Drosophila melanogaster: one gene and its partner. The protein of the gene in region 1 purifies or fractionates together with the protein of each later gene. This does not show direct contact. Each region holds a gene or a part of one and is shown on either strand. Other genes may lie near its edges.

The links. The genes of interacting proteins can lie anywhere in the genome.
Region 2: the proteins of Gs1 (region 1) and CG32631 purify together in Drosophila melanogaster (affinity purification with mass spectrometry, with the first as the bait; one large-scale study listed by BioGRID). This does not show direct contact.

The regions. Positions count from the first base shown.
Region 1 is NT_033779.5:126,133-137,225, reverse strand, and holds Gs1 (glutamine synthetase 1), read right to left. Parts: upstream 5,150-11,093; 5' UTR 4,744-5,149; coding exon 3,544-4,743; 3' UTR 2,754-3,543; downstream 1-2,753. Other genes in the region: CG3164 (uncharacterized protein), read left to right, coding at 6,675-6,718, 8,284-8,426, 10,999-11,093.
Region 2 is NC_004354.4:13,549,526-13,560,618, forward strand, and holds CG32631 (uncharacterized protein), read left to right. Parts: upstream 1-6,946; 5' UTR 6,947-7,023; coding exon 7,024-7,194; intron 7,195-7,300; coding exon 7,301-8,068; 3' UTR 8,069-8,341; downstream 8,342-11,093. Other genes in the region: CG11816 (uncharacterized protein), read right to left, coding at 3,399-3,475, 3,567-3,739, 3,886-4,724.

The DNA of each region.
Region 1 (11,093 bases):
TGCCTGACCATATGCCCGTCATCGGTTTGGCTACGGTGATTACCCCAAGAATCGGGGGATTGAACTTTGTCTGATGCGATGCGCCAAAACGCACGGAACAGATCGCAGATCACTTGGTAGACGCGTGTGGGCCCATGACGCAAATATTGGGAATCGCGTGTGGTGGCAGAGAAAGTAAAGTGGAGGTGTTCTAAAAAAAAAAAGCGGCATAAAATGGGGGGAGGAAGATCTTTGGGCTCTTTGGAAAACTAAGACAGAACACGCAGTCCGACCCTGCTGTTGGGTGATTCAGTTCCAGACATCTATATGCTCTGCAAATTAAATATAGGCGCTCATCACGACCACAACATTGCGAATGGCGTGAGCAGTGGGAAATTAGATAAATAGGCCAGATAAAAGACAGCACTTGTTGGCTGCCTGTGTTTGCGCAAGAACCCCACCGTATCGACACCCGCCATAGATAAAATGGAAAAATCGGTTGCGTAGTAAACTATTTGCGGCCGCAAATCTTTTCTTTTTCTTTTCATTCCAAAATGACGCTACGTGACCGATTAATTGCTGGACATCGGTCACAGGACATAGAATTATAGGATTATATTATATATATTATGTATCTGCTTGTACCTGACAGGTTTTATAATTCTCCAGAGTGCGACCACATATTTTGATCGAGCAATCATTTACGATTGCGCGGACTGAAAGTAGCGCTATAAAACATAATCTCAACAAGCAGTTGGTGCGCTCCAAAAGAAACATCACATAAAAATAAACAGCACCCCCAGCAACGATTATTTCACCAGCAGCTCCACAACAGATTCGCTCTGTTTTGTTACCCGTTTATTGCCGCTTGTCACATTACGTACTGCATTGAGTCCGTAAATCCGCTGTTATCAGTGCTTTTTCCGACCACTCCCATTGCAAGGCGAGCGAATGTCTTGACCCAGTTAAAGGCTCTGAAAATGGTAATTTGCAATTGGCCAGACAAGAGTCGATCAGTAGATGAGTTTACTGTGACAGGCCGTTCAGGAATCACGCTCCACAATCGTGCCCAACTTTAAGGTAATTTAAATAAAATTCGCAGGGGTCTGGGTAAAATTATTTCATCTCTTTATATGGAATTGATTTGATCAATTATGGTTCAACATTATTTTATTTTCGCAACCGCAGCCAGTATGATTTATTGCCCTTTGATAACCCTACCCAGGCGGAGGTATTTTTCTGACCGAGTCAGAAGTAAAAGGCACGGTACAAAAGATAATGGTAAACGCTGGACAGGCTTTTGCAGCCGGAAGATTAACTTCGTGGCCTTACTGTCTTATCAGTTTGCTTGGACTTTAACCGAGTGAACTGACGAACTGAAGATTTTATAGGAAGGTGAGGAGAGTAAGTGAAGCTTATATTTCTATCCAGTCGATCGTTGCCTACATTTATCTAGAGCAAAAATATATTATTTTGATCACTTGATTCAGTGATATATCAATATCATTTTGTTATCAATAGTTTCGAAATCAGGTGTCCAGCTTATCATTCCGTTTTATGCAAATCGCCTGGTCTCAGGCAGCATAACTGGATCTCCTCAGGCCTGCATTGTATGATGTTGACATCTTTGAACGTGTTTCATGCATACCAATGAACCTGCTTCAATTAATTAATAATCTGGTTTTTGGGCGACGGTGCGGAACTATTGAGTTCTGTGGCCATAACAGGCTAGTGCCTTGATTCGATTGTTTATGTGATTTTAAAATATATTATAGTATCTACATTGTGCCCACAAATGCTGCAATGGAAAACGGGTATATTAGATAGTCGAATTGGAATTGGGCACAGGAATGCGTTCGAACATTTAAAGATGAGTTAACGAAGCTATAGATGGTCTGACTACGGATGATTCCGTGCCTCTTTCGGCTGGCTGGCTTGGTCGAACTATCTCTGTGTATTTAACACTGTTTTGTATAAACTGGATGGCCTTATCTCTCCCTCTTAACCTTATTACATTTGCATACCCCGTAATCCGTAATCCGCTCCCAGCAGAGCCAAACAAACACCGCTAACTGCACCTCAGAATGTCAACAATTGCGAGAACGGACATGCAAAGTGCAGTAAAAAAAGCACACTCAATTTTAGATGCTCGAAGACATACTAGATACATACATATGTATGTATATTAAATATCAGTTTAGTAGTACTGCAGTATCTGCTATTTTAATTTAATTCAAATTTAAGATTTATTTTGTAAGTTTAAGTATAATAACCACACTTAATAGCCCCCCTTTGAAGCGATTGAGTTCGCGGTTATACTCAATCAATATAAGATTGCAGGGAAATGCAATTGCCTGCCATCCCAGAGTGCAGTACCCCTGCCCTATCAGCTGGACGCAGTATATTGCCATTGGGAATATACGAGTATATGGAAGCATTGTCTCCTTCGCAGCCATATCTTTCATCCAAGCATACAAACATACATATATGTACATATATACGAGGGTGTGTGTCAGTTGAGCGAAAAACACACATATTCTGAACGGAAACCCTAAGATTTAGTCTTTGAATACTTTCAGTGTCAGGCAGCTGTTTGTGGTGGAAAACTTTCCATTAAAAACAAGGTCTTGCCTTAGCTAGTTTTTGTGCCCTCATGTCACTCTTATTTACAAGCAAGCTGTTCTATATTTTAAAACTTTGATTTTCACAGTCATTGCAACAACAGTTGTTCAAAAGCTCGCCAGAAAAGAGAAAATAAAATAGTCTGTAGTAATGTGTTTTGCTTTGTACGCAGTTCTGCTTTTACTCAAAATGTATTTATGTATCTCAATGGAATTTTTAATTTTGCTAGTGCTAGTATTTAGACATTTATATTATAACAGCATATAGTAAAATGATGTAAAATGCTACCGAACAAAGTGAAGCGACAGATCCGTAAAGTGAGATACATATGTACCAATATATATACATAAATTAATTTCTTAGTATTTTATTTTTAACAACTTCTAATCAACAATTGGTTTTTATAAACATATTTCACATATATGTGTATTCGTGCTCATGGATATGAATGATTAATATGCATATCGTCCGATTTCAGTGATATTTCCTTCTTAAATTTACATTTAGAAACTCTTAGGAGTTATTAAAAAAGTGCGTTCAAGAAGTTAAGGGCAAAAAATGGCGTTGACCGAATTCAACGTCGGATCCCAAAATGTTTGTTTGATCTAAAAGGTACAAAAAATTAACGTAGAGTACAATGTTTTTTATTATTTAGATTAAAGCAATGATAGATATACGTAGTTTGTGAGATATATGGCAAAGTATTCATGAGGCCCCATCGCTTTAAGGAAATTTCGCTTTAGCTTAGTTCTTCTTGCCACCCACCCACGTTCTTAAATTCTAAGCGCACGCTTTTCGTGCCTCGGTCTCCTGTCTTTTTTGCACAAGCAAACTAAATTTTGCTTCAGTTCAATGTAAATATAACCAAATGATCGGATACGCTTCACAGTTCCATAAAACATAATGTACAAAAAATTAAACATCTGTTGCACCGCTCACAGCCTACTCGTTGAGCAGGCAGGTGCGAACAATGGCGTTGCACACGGCGTAGGGATCACAGTTGGAGCTTGGCCGCCGGTCTTCGAGGTATCCTTTGCCGGCCGTCGCAACGCCACGCGGCACTCGCACACTTACGGCCCGGTTGGCCACGCCCCAAGAAAACTTATCGATGCTAGAAGTCTCAAGACGTCCCACGAGGCGCCGTTCATTGTCTTTGCCTTCCTTGGGGTCGTATGCCTTGATGTGCCGCTCGTGGCGCTTGCTCAGCTTCTCGATAGCTTCCTCGATGGCCTTGATTCCGCCATCAGCACGCATCTCCTTTGTGGAAAAGTTGGTATGCGCGCCGGCTCCGTTCCACTGACCCTCCATCGGTTTGGGGTCAAAGGTGACCACTACGCCATACTCCTCAGCTATGCGCTGCAAAATATATCGCGACACCCATAAATCGTCACATGCCTTAATCCCGGCTGGACCAATTTGGAACTCCCACTGCGCGGGCATTACCTCGGCATTGGTGCCGGCGAAGTCGATCCCAGCATACAGGCAGGCCACGACGTGGGCCTCCACAAGATCGCGAGCGTACACACGGTCAGCTCCCACGCCGCAGTAGTAAGGACCTTGTGGGGCTGGGAAACCGTTCTCCGGCCAGCCGAAGGGACGTCCGTCCACGTCTAATAAAGTGTATTCTTGCTCAATGCCGAACCAGGGCTCCTGATCGCTAATTAGGTCAATGGCTGCCTGGAACGCGGCACGCTTGTTGGACGCCGTCGGCTTGCCGTCGGCGCTGTAGGTGTCGCACAGGACAATTACGTCGTTCTTTCCCGGCTTAAAGGGATCGCGATATATGGCGCGTGGCTTGAGCGTGGTGTCCGAGTTCTCGCCATGGGCCTGGTAGGTGGAACTGCCGTCGTACTGCCAATCCGGCAAGTCCTCCACGGAGCTGGGTACTTTGTCCAAAACGCGATCCTTGAGGCGAATGTTCTCGCCGGTACCGTCGATCCATAAGTAAGTAGCCTGCACTCGATTGGCCGGCGTTTCCAGGTTGCGGTACCTCTGCAGAATGCTCTTGTCTAGAGCCGTGTTGGGGGAGTTGGCCAAGAACTGGGAGCGGGTGGTATTGCCAGTACGCAGCAGACGCAGCTGCTGTGTTGCGGGAGCCACCAGCTCCTTCTTCAGGAAGAGTCCTGCCACGCGTAGTGCCATCTTGGTTCTTGGATTGGAGTCGGCGAGAAGGACAAAAGGACACGGTTAGTTATGTATTGCTGGCGAATGTGAGGACGTGCGCAGGAAGGGCAAGGGCTGGTGGCATGCTGGCTCACTCTGCTTTTCTCATGAATTTTTATGTAATTATTTTCCTTGCACTTGATTTTCCGAGGTAGTTAAAAAAGGGGTACTTTTCCAGTGAAGACGCAGTCTTCCGCACAACTTACCGTGCTCTGCTCGTTTTTCCACTTTACAGTTATATGATTGGTTAAACAGTCGCTGGTTGGACAGGTCTTTTGGTAATTTTGGATTGCGGTACTTTCGGTTTTCGTTTCTGTTTCTGTCAGGGGCTGCGGAGCGACTGTTGGGGACACCCGACCAATTCGATGTTTGGAAGTCTTGTGAGCACAGTTAGCGCGACAGCATTCACTTTTTTCGTTGTTTCGTCGCGCGCCTCGGGTTTTTCTTTATCTCGTTTGCGACGCCGACGCACAGACAAAGGCCTCCCAGAGAGCATTCAAAACTGGCGGTATATGAGCACCCGCTCCGCAGCCACTAGCCAGAGAGACCTGCAATGCGACCCATAATGTTTATGTTTCGAGGCTAGTCGGGTAGCCAAAAGCCCCGTTACTGAGCACACGCTATAAGCTCATTTATGCATTTCGAGCACTTGTAGCTTGCATTAGCGCCAAATGAAAAACAAAAGTTTTTAGTAATTCTCATCGTAGAACACCTGCACCATTTATGTGCATGGCCCACTTTAGAACCCACAAATTAAGTTCTACATTTTTGATAAATTCATTTCAGAAACTATGATAGGTTACGCAGTATGCAGATGCATTTCAGCAGTACTACTTATTACAACACTCTCTCATTTCTCGTAATCTCTTCGTAAAAACCTCCACCATTTTGCTCTTTGGCTGATTGTTTTGAATACACGCCTGGTACAAAGTTCACTATATACAATTAAATATAGCGAATGCAAGGAGCACCGTATCAGCTGTGTCTATTCGTGTTTGGCATTTGATAAACTCTGTGGTGGACCGCATTAATAGAGCCTTAAATGAAGCAATAATGATTTGTTTATAATATGTAAATTCGGTACTAAATGTTCCTATTCCTGGCTTGGGTCTCGCATACGACGTTCTGAATATTAAAAATATATCTAACTAAAACTATAACTAAAATAGCAGTATAAGTACACAGTGTAGCCAACTTTTAGGCTGAGTATGTAAAACGTTGAAATTTAAATGCTATGTAAATTCTGATCTAAATATCCTGTGTGGAGGATATTCAATATTTATTTGTTACAGATTATACTTAGTCCTAGGCCGTCGTTCATCAAGCCACGCATATTGGCCCACTCCCTCCTACATAATGGCATGTTGTCGCACAAAAGCCGAGACCACAGATATGTCTTCCAATTATTTGTTGGTTGCCTCGTAACTTAGAGGAAAGTACTGAAGAACGGATGAGTATATTTCAGATAGGATTAATGTTAAAATAAAGCTAAAACTCTGTTTCTGGCGGGAAAGCAAGCTTTTTTGGACGGCTCATATTGGGAGAGCTTCAGGTGGGCATAACAAAGAAAACAAGGAAAACAGAGGAAACTTTTATGTGCCAATGTGTGAGTGCCACTTTTCACCATAGACCCGAGTAATTCCCATATAGCCGTCTACGCTTTTCCAGTTACGTGGCATCGTTTCCACTAGTTGGCCGGCTTCAGTTTTCGCAAGAAACTACGAAAGTTTCCCTCCAGCAGAGTGTACATATTTTTACACCCGATGTGCAACAACCAAATACAAAATCGCTAATTCTTATATTCGGTTTGGGTTTCGACTGCCTATTCGTTATTGCCTGCGACTTAGCTTTCGCGAAGGCAACTTGTTGCTTCAAAGCGATGGTTTCAGTAGCTGTTGAGTTACGGCACCATGAACCAGTATAGTTGGAAGCAGTTTTTGGAAAATAATAATCTGTAAGTAGCCGAATCAGGCGGGTCTCAAGCAAAATGCATCACATTTAGTTGGCACATCTAATATACCACACCCCCCGTTTATAAAACGAAATCAACAAGTGTAGAACAACCGGTTTGCAATTCCTGCCAATTGTTGACATCTCCGTGACTTGATTAGCCACAAGCTTTAAAAAATTTCCAAGCCAATAGTCATCGGGAAATTGCCAGTGGAAATACATTATTCTTTCATATCTTAAGGCGACTGCATAACTTTAGTGCTGTATGCTGATTTGAACCCAGAAACCGAACTAGGAATAATATCTCAAATTGCGGTTTGTACTGGGAAAATACCTTTTGTTGGTCAATTCATTACGTTTTTACTTGCCCCAATATATACAATAACCGGTTTAACTAAACGTTATTAGCACTCCCAGTGCAATCCGTAAATCCCAATTAGATTGGGCAAAATATAGACCGGAGCATCGTAAAAGCATGCCAACAAGGAGCCTTACAGCAATGTCTACATCTAACTGTTGCGTTCAGATATACCACAAAACTGTTTCTGGGGCAAAGTTGTAAGGTCGTCCCACGCCATAGCCACAAATGACCTCATGCCACATTAAATGTAGGGAAAAGCAAAATGTAGGTAAAATGTCGCGTAAGCAAACCATTAAAAAGCGTACTAGAGCTCCTTTAAACGAATTACGGCACCGATTAACTTATTTTTACGTAAAACACGAAATGACAAAGTACAACCCCTTATCGGCTCATTGAAAACTCCTATCAGCTGTAGATTGACACCCATAGATAAGCCCCTCCAATAACTCATGAGTCATGAGCGAGGCCGTGAACTTTTAACTTAGATTGAATAAACCAATGGCCAGAACCTTAGCTTCCAGGACTAACTACTATAAAAGGCTGATAAACCAATCAAAGTACAAGACTGGGAATCAAAGACCTTCCTCAAGGTAAAGACTTTCCTCGAAATTAGTTAGTGGTATTTTATTTCGAGATACATGGGTCCGCCGATCGAGGAATATTCACAGATTATAGGCTTTTCCCAAATTCATTCAAGACTTAGTAGAAGAATGCGCTGGCTTTTGAGAGAGAGCCAACCCGCAGTGCCTCTCAATCGCACTAGAATCCCCACCAGAAGTAGTGCTTCTATTGTCGTCCCACTCTAACCACAGACGTAAAGCATTGGGGCTGTGAGAGTATGCGATGGCACTCTCTGTCAGCGGTTGCCTAAATTTCTGCCTTTGTTCCACTGCCGCAATTGCTTATTTCAGTTGCGATCGCGGCGCGAGCGAGTGAAGTCCTAATATTTGAGAAGCGGCAGTACCGTTTCGAGCAGACGGGTGGAAAATTTCTCTCACCGGACCAGACGGTGGTGGAATCGAATCGAGAACGCGAACGAAAAACCAAACGGGAACGAAGGGCAGCAGGGGCTGCAGTATTGCTGTCAGTGCTAAAGTTTACAAAGAATACACACACAACACAGTGGTTGCATTTTGCTTTTTAACCCCTGGTTGATTGATTGACAAGATGACTAAGAACGATAATGCAAATCTGTTGAACGACAACAGACTGGGCACAGCCGGAGCGGGTCAGTTGAAAGCTCAAATAGTACCCGCCCAGCCAAAGACGCTCCAGCACCTCCCCAAGCGACCAGCGGTGGACCTGGCCTTTCACAACCTGACGTACCGCGTCAAGGAGGGGAACCGGAGCAGTAAGTACTTCCACTGTCTAGTACCTCTCTCTATATCAAGCTGCACTCCTCGGCAGCACGAGAGCGGGATCTTGAACCTCCCGCGCCTGCTCTCACCTCACCCTAGAGCTTTTGTTTCCGGTCCTGGCTAGTAGTACTCCGCACATGTGTTATTGAGCTAGTTCTCCGGAGTACTCTGTCGCTATTACGCACTTCCCTGGCTTTAGCGGGTTTTACTTGTTTGCTTTAGCTGCGCTTCGCATTGTGTTGGTTTCTGGTTTCTTTGTTCTTTTAGCAGCTGTAACGCAGTATCAACACTCAGACTGTGAGCAACGGAGAACTTCGGGTTGTGGCTGAGTAGATATGTAACCCGTCGTCTCTTCGTCAAATTCATTTCCCAGTTTCACAAGGGCGGCTCTGGCCAAAGTTCACTAGGTTTCACCGCGATAAGCACTGCTAAATACATCAAAATCATCAGCCAGTAGCCGCGGAGTAACTGCCCACACAAGCTATTTCGCTATTGGGACAGTCAACAACTTGGTTCGATGCCATAGCATCTAAAAGGCGAGGAGCCATGTACTCGCACTTTTCTCACGTAGCAGTGTATCTACTTTAAAGCATGGGTGGAGCACAATGGGGTTTTTTTTTGGATCTACTGCTTTTATGGAAAACAATTTGTGATGACGTGCCAGAGGGAGAGGTATTGTTTTTATACCCTTTCCTCGTAGACTGCCCCTGATCCGCCAAAAAAAAAAGGATTATGAAATTGAGTAGCGGGTATGTTATAGTTGAGGAAGTCAAGACTGATGGCGGCGGTATGTGCTTTCTGTGTTAGCAGAGCGATTAGGATTTAGTCACTGCCAATAGCTAGCTTTAGTCGGGTGTGGTGGTGAAAACACATTTGTGGTAATATGCAGTGCCCCGGTGGGGCCGTTCAGAATAAGTAATGATGGCCGAGCGATAATATTCCATTAGTTTGGTATGCGAACGTGCACAACTGCTTTATTCTTATATTTATAAAAGCTCATTCATGAAACCCACTCCCCTCGTTGTCGCATTGGATGGCTGGCCTCACGGCGGACATAGTCCGTGAATCCCGTCTAAGATTGAGGGACTGTCAAAGCCTGTTTTTAAGCCCAAGGCCAGCCAAGTGCAAAACTAATTGGAGAAGGCAGCAGCCTGAACTTTGCACACCTCAAAGGTCGGCCATCCGACTCAATTAAGTCGTTCAGAATAAGCGAATATACACAGATTTATTTACACTGCCCTGTGAGCGTGCCCCACCTAGCCGAAAGATTTGCAGATGGCACGCCGCCTTCTGGGGTGTGCTAAGTTATGTGCCAAAATAATGTATACAATATAAGATGGAAGTGAGGCAACAGATGGAAATTGCGCTGATTTTGGCTAACTATGCCACTTAAAGTAAACACAATTAATGAAGTAAGTGCCTGCTAACGTTTTCGGCTGCTATATTAAAACAGATATAAATAAATTCTGAAAGCGACTTTCTGTGCCCTTGTTGCAAGTTTGGCGTAACCTTTTCTTAGGAGCCCTGAATGGTTCCACTTGTTGTCCAATCCGGTCATAAACATCAAAGCTACGATTTGGCCTTAGCGCTGGACTATAGTTTTTCAAGCGTGACCCCACTTTTGGTGCTATTACATCAATTGGCAAGCAAGTAAGTTCAATGAGAGACATTGCGTACCTAGTGGTTACGACTTGCTAGTCGCTGCCTGGCAGCTGGAATTCATTACCAGCTTTTAAAGTCTACGTATTAAGTAAGTCGCCGAATAAAACATTTACAGTCCCTGCATGAGCTTAATAAATTTGAGTTTCACTTCTGAGCGGGTCACGGTACTTTACTAATCGGAGTTATGACAAACATAAAATGAATTATTTCGTAATAGTCACTTTACAGAAGCTCTATAACCAGTCATAGCTCGCTTTTGTGTCCAAAGTCGATTCAATAGTAAATACATCTTTTGATTAAGAGCCGGCAGTCGAAGAGCGTGCCCCCATGAAAACGGGTATATTAGCATTTTCCGTAGAGCAGATGGCTTGCTGTACAAAACTATTGGTTTAAACTTTAAAGGTATGCCATGATTATAAGGCACTTCCGCATCTGAACAGTTCCATTTAGGCAGCATCTGCGAATATACGTCAGAATAAGTCAAACTATTTTTAAACAAGCGTTACTAAAGTGCAATTGGCTTTTTACGAATTTTAGCCGCTTTGTTTATTAGTTGTCCGTTGTTGATGTTGGATGTTTAATAAAATTTGAGTAATGGACGCGGTTGTTTGACAACTGTTGGAATTCTGTCGATAATAGCATAAGTCATACTATATATGGAGGTGGACGAAGAAAAACGTGATGGGGCCATTGACCGTGCTATGTGTTTCGATTGTCAGACTTTGCAGATTTTGTTTACCTATCGGCTCTACACTTGCTCGTCCAAAAGCCAATGCAATCAATATCTTTCTTGATAGCTGCGGCGGCACTTAGATATTGACGTAAGACATATCAAAACGCGAACTATTTTTAGTCCCAACAAGAGATTGGCCCAAACACTAATTTTGTGTGTTTTTATTACAGATGCCAAGACCATTCTGAAGGGCGTCAGTGGACGCCTCCGGTCTGGAGAACTCACCGCCATAATGGGACCATCGGGTGCTGGCAAGAGTACGCTG
Region 2 (11,093 bases), on another chromosome or scaffold:
GATCCATGTTCCATGGCCATACGCACATATTGATAAACACATTACAAGATATTTTGCTCACTTCATGGATTGTTCGAGCTGAAGTAGGGAACTTATACCCATATGTATTGTATGTGTGCATATGATATATATACTATATGGCATAAAGTCAGCTCGTGTTAAAATCTGCTTTTATGATTAATTGCCGTTGCGCTGGAAAATAAACCACGACAACGAAGGCGACTTGCTGCATTTCAATTTGTATTTTCATTTTTCGTTTCGCTTCGCAGCCATTTTCATTGCTCGACCACTTTTCCGGGCATTTTCCATTTGGCACATTCACACTTTTGGGGTTTTATTTCGCTGGGCACGATGTATGTAATTCGGCATTCGGCTGATTTAAGCATGATCCTTGTGTAATCGCTCGTTAATTAATCCTCGCATTCATTTCTCGCACAGTTCACCGGCACCCAGCGAAATTTTAGCAATTGCAATAATTGCTAAATGATATATATTTCATAATTGGCTTGCCAACATATTTGGGCATTCAGCTAATTTCAGTTCAAGTTTTATGTTGCATTTTAGCAGCAAATTGCACTTGAAAAGCCTAAATTGTTTTTCAATACCAAGTGCAATTGTTTTGTTTCTAGCACTTCAGTTTTTATTGCGAAGTTTTTTTTTTTTTTCTTTTTTTGCTGCTCCACCACTTGGTTTTCCCCATTAAATCCCACTTGGCTCCACGATTCATTCGCCTTCGAATTTGTTGTTCGTTTGCTTCTCATGGAAATTGGCGCGTTTATCTTGCATTATTTTGCGCACATTCGCTTCGCATAACTTTCGGCCTCTGTTGCAGTCAGTGTTTCGTTGGCTCAACTTGAACTCAGTCCGTTTGAAATGCACTGAACGAAAAGGGGTAGTGCAACACAAAATAAGAAATTTAATATAAAGTGATATTTTTGGGAAAATTTAACCACATGTAGTTGCATAAAATATCTAAGTATAGAAATGTAGAACTATAGAGAATAAAGTATTCTAACTGCTACGAAATATATATATTTTTTTTTGCAACTTCTGCTTTAATATTTTTGTATAAATGCCACACCTAGCTGTTACATACCTACCCACATCTCAAATATACCCTTCTATGCTAAGGTGCAACGGATATGAATACCTATAATGGTGTCCATTAGTTGCCTATTAAAACGCCCATTTAAGACCATTTCTTTCAGTGCTCCCGAGGCTTTTGCCAGTGCTTCCGTTTCCTTTAGAACGAAAGAATGGGGCTGCAAAGGACGAAGGAGAGCAAAAGGACGAACTGCAACTGGCATTTTTGGCGTTCCCGGCACGCGCTCACTAATTTTATTCCTTAATAAAAACTACAGGCACACCACGCGCTGGAAGGAGAAAGCGAGAGCCGTTCGTGCACGTAGCAATAGCATCCTCTCTTTCCGCCGCCTCAGCGGTCGTCTCTCTCTTTTCCCCCGGGTGCTGCCATCTCACTCATTGGCCCCATTGCGGAGCTCTGGGGGAGGGGGAATGGGGAATGGGGTGATGCTACCTTTGGCGAGGTGCGCTATCAAACTAGCAAAGTTCATTAAAGTGATAATTACAAAGGCCGTAAAAGGAACGACGTACGGCCAAGACGACAAGGAACGGATATACGGATATACGAGCTGCAAACTGAAAAATAACCCAAAATAAACAATGGAAGACAATGAGAGCTCTGCCAAAGGTTTGAGAGGGGGAAAAACAGGTGGGGGGGTGGGGGTAGAGATCGTGAGCCGAGGAAAAGCGAGTGCTTCCAAACCAGTTTTAGTAGTTATCACTTTATAAACAGGTAGATATTCCGGGGATATATGAATAATATTCATACTTACTGTGAATACATTGCAAAATAATTCCATAAGAATTTAATTGCCAGACCCAATAAAAACCCAAATAAAAATATTTAACTACATATTCTGGGAAAATCATGGAAATCGGGGCAAACCGATAAAGTAAGGTCGGACATGAATTTAAATAATCATAAGCCGAGACCCAAAAAGTAACTTTGCACAGCTGCCAACAGGCTGACGCCCAAGGACCAAGAAAACTTTGCGGCATAAACAACAAACAGGGAAAATGCGGCGAGTGAGGGGAGGGGGGGGGGGGGCGGTGGGTCTAACGGTTGGAAAATCGAGGCAAGGAAAAGCCATAAACTACAATTGAAAGAAACAACAAAGACATTGCCAGCAGCTACAGCAGAAGGCAAAAAGTAAATAAATAAATAAATAAATACGTACATATGTATGCAGAAATGCCAAAAGGATTGGGCAAAAGTGAAATACTTTGATATGCATCTAAATGGCATCATCAGCATCATCCTTGCCCCTGCCCTTAACCCTCGACTGCCCACGGGTTTTTTAAGTGAGAAAACAACGTGCACTCAGAGAAGCTCAAACTGATTGTAAGAATAATGTTAAATATAGATAATAAAACTCAATAAAAATGATTCAATTAAAGGAATAAAATATAATATAATATAATATAGAGCTATGCACATTAGTTAAACTAAAACTAATGCTAAAACTAAAAACATATATTTTTAAATTAATTTATTTGGCTAAATACTGAAACCTGTTATCATAACATACTTTCATTATTCTGTACCTATTAAAAAACACATCAGATGTACCAAAATATCTCAGCAATATTATCTTATATATATCATATCATATCTAATATCTATAGATAGATAGATAGATATCTATATCTATATATCTATATCTATATCTATCTATATCATATCCTTTCTCCCAGTGCAGCAGCTGCACAGCAGCCACCGAAGATGGCAATCAGTAGCACTGCGATTGAGAAAGCAACAGCAAATAGAATAGAAATCGGACTGAACAACAACAACAACAACAACATTGGGTGCTTGCAAAATCTGGTGAAATAAAAATAGTGAAAAAAACAAAATGCCAGCAATGGACAAAAAACGCAAAAACAAAAAACATATACTACGTAACACCAAAAGCGACAGACAAACAAAATAAAAACACTGCAAATCATTTTGTGGGCTCTACATTTTATTTCGCCATTTTTTTGCACCCAACAAAGTGAACCTTGGGTCGAAAAATTATAATAAACAAATACTTATACATTTTATAACTATATGCAAGCACAGCTGAAATTAAAAACTTAACTCACAAGCAAAAGATACAAATATATCTGCGTATATATGCCAGTTTAAACTATTTAAAAAATCTTGTTTAATTTCACATGCAAACACTAAATAAAAATACAAGTTTTCTTTACAATTTATTGGAAACTCTTCAGCTAAAATAAGTTATAAAAAAAAAATGCAAAAAAAATATATATATGTTTACTTAGTGGTTAGCACCACTGTGCCGCCAACTGGAAATCCTGCCCATCCTCATTCACATATTGGTCGCTTTTGTGGCTTTGTAATGCAAATGTTTGGGCAACAACCCTGGCTGGTGATAGTGGAGCTCGACTGAGCGGGCGGCAGGAGGGGGCGTGGGAAAATGGAAGAAAGGAAAATGGAATATACAATCACTATTGATGGCAACTCTGGACACACTCACTTCTATAGACATTGTAGCCCCGCTCGTCGGCAATATAGTACTGTGTCTGGATTTGGTTTTTAGGTCCTGGAATGGGCACTGAATTGTAGCCCTCCTGAACGTTGATCAACCGGTCACCCACTTTCTTGGAGTACAGCTTCTTGTAGTTCACCAGGCCGTTGCTCATCACCAATCTAGGGGGGATTTGGTAACATGATTGATTAGGGTATTTTACTTGTGTTTAAAAATTTTACATATATGTACATATATTCAAAAACCGTAGTTTGCATTTAGTTTGAATATTTGTTTTGTTTTGATTAATTAATGACAATCCACTCACTTGTACTCCTCGGTGCCATTGGGGTGTATAACGTGATAGTTTTGCACAACATAAATGGGCGTGGGAGTGGGCGTGCCGGTGGGATGACTGGTGGTCAACGGGCGACCGGTGGTCGACGATGTGGATGGTGGCACTTCGTCGAAGAAATAATCAAGATTCTCCTCTTCAAAGTCCATTTGCGGAAATACAACCAATTGATCCTCGTACAATGGCCATATTTGCTCAATAGGTGTCCCAATTTGGGTGGGCTTGGGGGTGATGCTAGTGGTGCTACTGGTGGCTCTAGTGGTCCTAGCTGTCGTTGTTGTTGCTTCTGTTGTTGTTGTAGTGGACAGCGGTGGACTGAAGTCATCACCGTCCTCGATGTCACTGGGCCAAACAACCAATTGTAATTCATAGATGGGCTGGCTGTCCGGTGACTTCAAGTGGCGCCGCCAGTCTGGATTTGCCTCAGGCATCTCCTCCACCGGCTTATTACCACTGCCTGGTAACGCCCCCCTCTCCGGCAACGCCCCCTCATTGTGGCAGCCTAACGAGTCCATTGTCGCCGCATCGAAAGTCAATTTGCAGTCGATGCGTTGGCCATCCACTTGAGCAGCAGTGGCCTCCGTCTCCGATTCCAGTTGCAGCTCCTCCGCATGCGGGTTGTAGTTGTCGGTGGTGATGGTGGCGATGGTGGCGATGGTGGTGGCGGTGGTGTCCGGATTCGAATCCAAATCCGAATCCGATTCGGAGTACGGAGCTGTAACTATCCCGGCCTGCAGCAAAGGGATTAATGTGGCCGCCAGTAGCAGCAGCTGCAGGAGTACCAACTCCGGCCGGATTCTGTTTGATGACATGTCTGCGGGCGCTTTTCCTTGCCTTTTGCACGCTGCCAAAAGGCCCGGACTTGTATTTATACGAATCAAAGGCAGTCAGTCGCTGCAGGCTGCAGCTGAATTCAAGTTGACTGAATCATCATCATCATCATCATCAGCATCATCATCATCATCATCATCACCATTATCGTCGGCTGCACTCTAAACATCGGGAATATATATATATGCATTATATATGTACAATACCGTTATACGCCAGAACGGCAAATAAGCTGGCTTTGAACCACTTTGGAGAAGAGCCCACAATGAACCAGCCAAAGTGGCCTTAACCCGTGAAGTAAATAATGTTGAACAAAAAATATTTTGTCACTAAAATAATGGCTTTTTAGTATTCATTATAATCGCATTATTTAATTTGTTCTATAAAAGTAGAGAATGCTATTATATTAAATTCTTGAAAAAGAATATTACTCATACGCAGTGTATGACTTTAATTTGTTTCAAACTGCTACGTTTAAGCTGGCAATGATTTTTATTTTTTTTTTTTTTTTAACCAGGAATATTATTTAGAATAATGCATAATAATTTATAATTTTCAAGCAATAATTAATTTACATTTATAGTTCCTCACATTACGTATACGCAGCGTTGCCTACTGTTTGTATTTCTAATTTTCAATTACCAGGAATGTTAAATACTCTTATCACCCCGTTCAGCAGCCAAGGGTTAAAATGCATCACTATATAATCATTTAAAACCGAAAAATGATGAAAATCAGTAAATAAGCATATGTACTGAATGAATGATGGGGGAGGGGGGGTGAGAGGGGGAGCTCAGATGCAGGATTGTAAAAATCTTTATAATCGCCACATTGTGTGTAAGCTCGTAAATGTGCTAAAGGGTATTTGGTTCGGAGTTTGTTTGTTCCAGGGGTGATCGAAGTTCATTGGTTCAGTTACCGTCTGTGTTTTTATTTAGAACATGTGTTTCATTAACATAATTAAAATTCAAATGTTACTTGCACTGCTTGAAGTGATATTTTAATATGTTTAACTATGTTTTTTTTTTTCTTTTTAATTTTTTACCTGGACTTCTTTGTCTTCGTAACCTTTGTGTCATAAAAGCGTTTTCAACGTTTTAAAGTATTATTTTTAGGGCTTGTTGCTCGACAAACCGGTTAACACTTTGAATCATTTTGGCCGCTTATTTCGTTCATAATCCTGGTTCTGCATCGATGTTTTGCACGTTTTCAAGGGCAGGCAGCTTTGTAATTTAATTCAATTTCTATTTAATTGAACCAAAGGCGTCTTTAATGTGCAACTTTTTGATTTATGAGTCCGCAACAGCAAGCGGCTGTCAAGCAACTTGTTCATTTCACTCCACTTCTTTCTTAGTTTCCCTCTCTTGCCTTCGGGAAAATTTAAAATCTTACTACGAAATTTCCATGCAAACGAAACATTTTCCGCCAGCCATGCCGCATTTTGCGTTTCCTCTTCTTTTTCTTCCTGTTTTTTTGGCACAAATTTAATTTGATTTGATTTTGGCCGCTGGACATGGCAAGCCCCAGGCAATTTGTCAAAAAGTTATATAGCTACTGTGTATTTTTATGTGCCGGCATATTTAATGACATTTTCCTCATTGCGACTTTTTTTTTTTGAATTTTCAAAAAATACAAAATACAATATCTTCTAAAATCCATGAGCAATGCCCAATTCTTGAAGTTTTTGATGGCCATGCAAGTGATGTGCCATTTGTTGAGTAAGTATATCTGTGGGCAAAGATTTCTAGCTTAGGCGTGTGCAATGTATGAGGAATTAATTTGTGTAAAATTGGCAAACAATGGAGGAGATGGGCCGAGTAAAGGTAAGCAATTTGTTTGAATTCGCTTGGTAAATTAATTGCACAGGTTTGGAAAATTAATGGACACCTGCAGATCCACCAGTGGCATTGTATGTTGGCCATTGTGTGGTTATTGAATTTAAGTTCCATAAGCATTCAAATGAAGATGCTGTAATTTTGCAGGAATATATAAATAAGTATATGGCCGTTATTAAATGCTGACCCACATTTTGTGTACTGGCAAAGCCAGTTTTTTTTTTGTTGGTTGTTAAAAACCATTTTGATTCTTGGCAAATCTGGTTCAATTAACTGCAGCCCAAAATATCATTTAATATCGCGATATGACCACAAAAATCATATATAAGAAGTGGCGAGCCTGGTCACCACAGCAAAGCGACTGAAAGCGAAGTCTGATAAAGAACAATCCTTACAAAATACAAAAAAATATATATATTTAAAAAATACAATTGAGCAACCAAACATGGCCAACATTCTAAGTTTTACCATCTTTATGGCTGCCATTGCTATTGGACTGGCTTTAGCCACAACAACGACAGCAAGTACAAGGACACCCATGCCCACTTCCACTGAAAAATCCATGGAAAAGGACGATCCCATGGAGTCCTTGGAACGCCGTGACAAACGCCAATTGGTAAGTGATTATTGAAGCAAACTAGTCGTGGCAAACTTAGGTGTAGATTTTAGGTTAAATCAATCAATTTTTAAACATTTACCTTTCCTCTTAATCGTATTCCCAGACCGCCAATGGTGGCCAGAGCAGCCTGGCTGGTTCCAGCGGCAACTATCCCGTTTTCTTCGATGGCCTTAATGTGAATCCCCCGCTGCAGCCACTGCCGCCACTGCAGCAACTTCAGCCTCTGCAGCCATTGCAGCCGATTACGGTGGTGACTCCTGTGGCCTCCAGTTCGAATGCCCAGAGCCAGCAGCCGCAGTCCGGCTGGCTGCCTCAGTTTAGCCAGAATCTTCCACTTATCGGAACCTGGGTGGGTGGCCTGCCCAATTTGATCAACGGCCTGGGACTCGGTTCGCTAAACGGCGGCTTCGGCACTCTGGGCGGCCTGAATCTGGGCAACCTGGGACTGGGTGCAGTGGCGCCGGTGGCCGCGGTGCCGGGCCAACTGCTCGGCTCGTCACCCAATCCCCAGACCACATGCCCACTCACCCAGAAGCTCAACTGCCGCTGTGAGCCGCTCGTTCAGCTGCCGGGCCTGAAGCCCAGTTCCAATCCACTGAGGACGCAGCTGGTGCAGATCATGCGGCAGAATGCGCGGAAGAACGAGGACGGTTCGCAGGAGGTGCGCGTAATCCTGAGCAGCGGACATGTGATCTACCAGCGGACGGCCAAGGATCGCGGCCAGAGTGGCTACCTTGCCATGAGAATTCAGTCGGGCAGGTACTTCAACATCTACTACAGTGTCAACGAGAAGGAGTACACGGTGCGGGCGGATGTCAAGGACACGCCACCCACCTCCGATTTTGACGACGAGCTGAGTGGTCAGTTCTAAAAATTGGTCAAAGGGATTTCCCTTTACTTACCTACAGTTTTTTTTTCTATACTTAATACTTAACTAGCCATTTTTTATATGAAATGCACTTAAACATATGTATTTGAATAAGCATTTAAACATATTTATGCTTATATGTTAAGCGTGCCCGATTTGAACCAAGCCGCCGAAATTCTTCGTAAACTCCATTAATCCCTTTTTTATTCGCAACTTTTTTTTTGAACTTAAACAACTACAAACTAGCTGCGAAAGAAATAAACTACAATGAAACACATTTTCTGACGATTGCTCCTTGGGGACAAAAAGTTTAGCTACAAAGACAAATATTCATGGGGGTGCGGCAATAAACTTGTTTTTATTGCCGAAAATGTTGTTAAAGGGTTAACAAGGTGGCAACGGGGGGGAGGTTGTTTCTTAGCCCTTAGCCCAATTTCCAAAAAAGGAACTTTCCTAATTACTGAAGCCACTTGGAAAAGAGATAAATAAATATTTACTCAGGCAATATTTAAGCAATAATTGTTCGCTTATTATTATCATTTTTCAGTATCAACTGATAATTATTCGTGAATAAAAGTTTTAACAATGGATATAGAAGTCTTTGTATTTTATAACTATTAAGTGCTCAAGTTTGTATATATGGCATAAATAGTTATAATTTTGTTTGTTTATTAGTTGCAGCAAGCCGACACCAGTTGAATCTGCTGGTCATGGAAAAACCCACAGAGAAAGAGGCCAGCAAACAAACAAAGAGCCAATGGGCAAATGGAAATCAAGCTGTAAAATGCCATATCCCTATCCCCCTCTCCACCGCCCCCCCCCCCCTCACATCTGCGCTTTTCCGCACTTCACTTTTCCCCATTTTGCCTTTCAAGTTGCGCTCAGAAGTTTCGCAATGAGCCGGGAAATGGAAACTGGCAGGATATGCCCGGAAAAGCGAAGTCGAGTGCATGGTGGTAGAGGGGGGCGGGTTGCGGTGCGGTGTGTTGTATAATTAAAAGTTCCCTTTTGTGCCGAGATTGGTGGATCCTCCCAAAAGGCAGCTACATTTTGATCCTTGCCAGCTGTGATTAGTCAGTGAACAGCAGGAGTTCTCAAATATAGTAAAGTAGTCTTCCTTTTTTTTTGTTAACTGGAGGTTAACTGGAAGTTTAATATTAAGTAAAGGTTAAGTTGTAAGAAAAAAAAATAGATTACATTTTAAACTGCACATTAAAATTAAATTGTAAACATAAAAGAAACCAAGAACTATTATTTAGTTTATTATTTAGCTTTTCAGATTGCTTTTGAAAAGAAGCTAAGTTTTGGTGTTTAAATTGTGAAATTGCGTGATTTTCGATTATGGGGCCCGATTTGTGGGGTGCTTAAAGCACTTTCGGTAAATAATTTACACAGTTTGTGCATAAAAGTTGCTTCTGCTGGGGCCTTTTAACCGGGGCATGGAAGGGGGCGTGACTGGCAATGAAACCGCATTGCTCGGTGCACACGAAACTTTTCACAAATCATAAATGGTCCCAGGACACACACACAAACACACACATTGCAGTTTAGTTCAGTGACTACCCAGCTTTTCAGCCACCCGTTTCCCCCCTGTATTTAAAAAGTCCCCCATTTCAGAATGACCACCTCCCCCCCCCCCCCCACTCCACCTTTGAGGGAGCCCCTCTCAACCAACCGCCTCATTGGTTATGCCAATTGCAAAAAGTCCTGGGCAACAATTGAAATTGCCGGACTCGTTGATGAGACTTTAAGCTCTGGCTGCAGTTGAAACCCCGCCCCTAATTACGTATTACCAGATGACTGCCATTAAGTGTTCCACAACCCCCCGCCCCTCACTCCGCACCCCTTCCCCTGACCACAGCCCCTCTTTTAAAGCTGAATCATCTTAAAGTGCTGGACAACAAGGACGCACCATTAAATCCACTGAATGCTCCACATTTCGGTTGGCTTTGGTTTGTTGATGTTGCCAGTGTTGGGTGGGCATGGCCCAAGGGTTGGGGGGCTGATTCCTGCGGGTTATATAAGCGTTGGCGCTGCTTCTGCACCCATTAGCTGATACGGCGGATCAGCGCGAGGGAGGAGGAATCCAAACCCAAGCCCAAAGCCAAAGCCAGACCAGTCGCAACCGCAGACCCACGTGAGTGACCGGCGACGACTAGACAGTGCGAGTCCATGCTTGGATGCATACATACATACATACATATGTATGTGTGCGTCTGGATGTGACCCACGGCGATGGCCCCTGAAACCAGGATGCACCTAGCCCAGAAGCAACCCTCCTGCGTTCGCCGCCCCTGGCTACCCTCGAAAAACTGCCGCATTGTGTGGCCAGAAAGCGAAACCGCGACTGCAACTGGCCCTGCAATAGAAAATGCACTGCAAAAAAACTGGGAGTATGTATTTAAAGTACTTGATAAAGTTGGATTATTAAATAACACAATTAAATTTAATATTAATAGAGAAGTAGTATTCTTATCAAGATGAGAACTAAGGAGCTATGTTAATCTTGAACCAGGTGTGGCCAACTTTATTTTTCACAGTGTGGCAAGGATAAGCAAAGCGACCAGAAAAGTATAACCAGCAAAGATGGACCCATGGAGAACGGATGCGAATCGAGAGCGGAAAGCGTGACAGATAGATGGGTTGGAGCAGCAAGGGGTTAATGAAGGAGGGCATTTAGTTCGTGGTACTGTGGAAATGATTAAAATGTATTAGGTGAAATTAAGTTGGCCAAACAGAGAAATGGGGGGGGGGGGTTTAAATAAAGAGGCCAAAATGAGGTTAAAACGTTGCACAAAGCCAAATGGAGCCTGGCTGGGCGAAAACAAATTCATTAGGCTGCAGTGGCATAAAAACATCATACCCACAAAAAGAAGATGCACAACGAAAACCGAACAAAGTTGATTTAAAGTATTATAATCTGCAACATTTTTGCGTATTTCGAGAATGCAGCTTGTTTACCCAGTTTGAAGTCAAGTTAGACTTATCTCTGGTTAATTGGTTTGCTCGAGAGCAGGGCGCGCAAAGC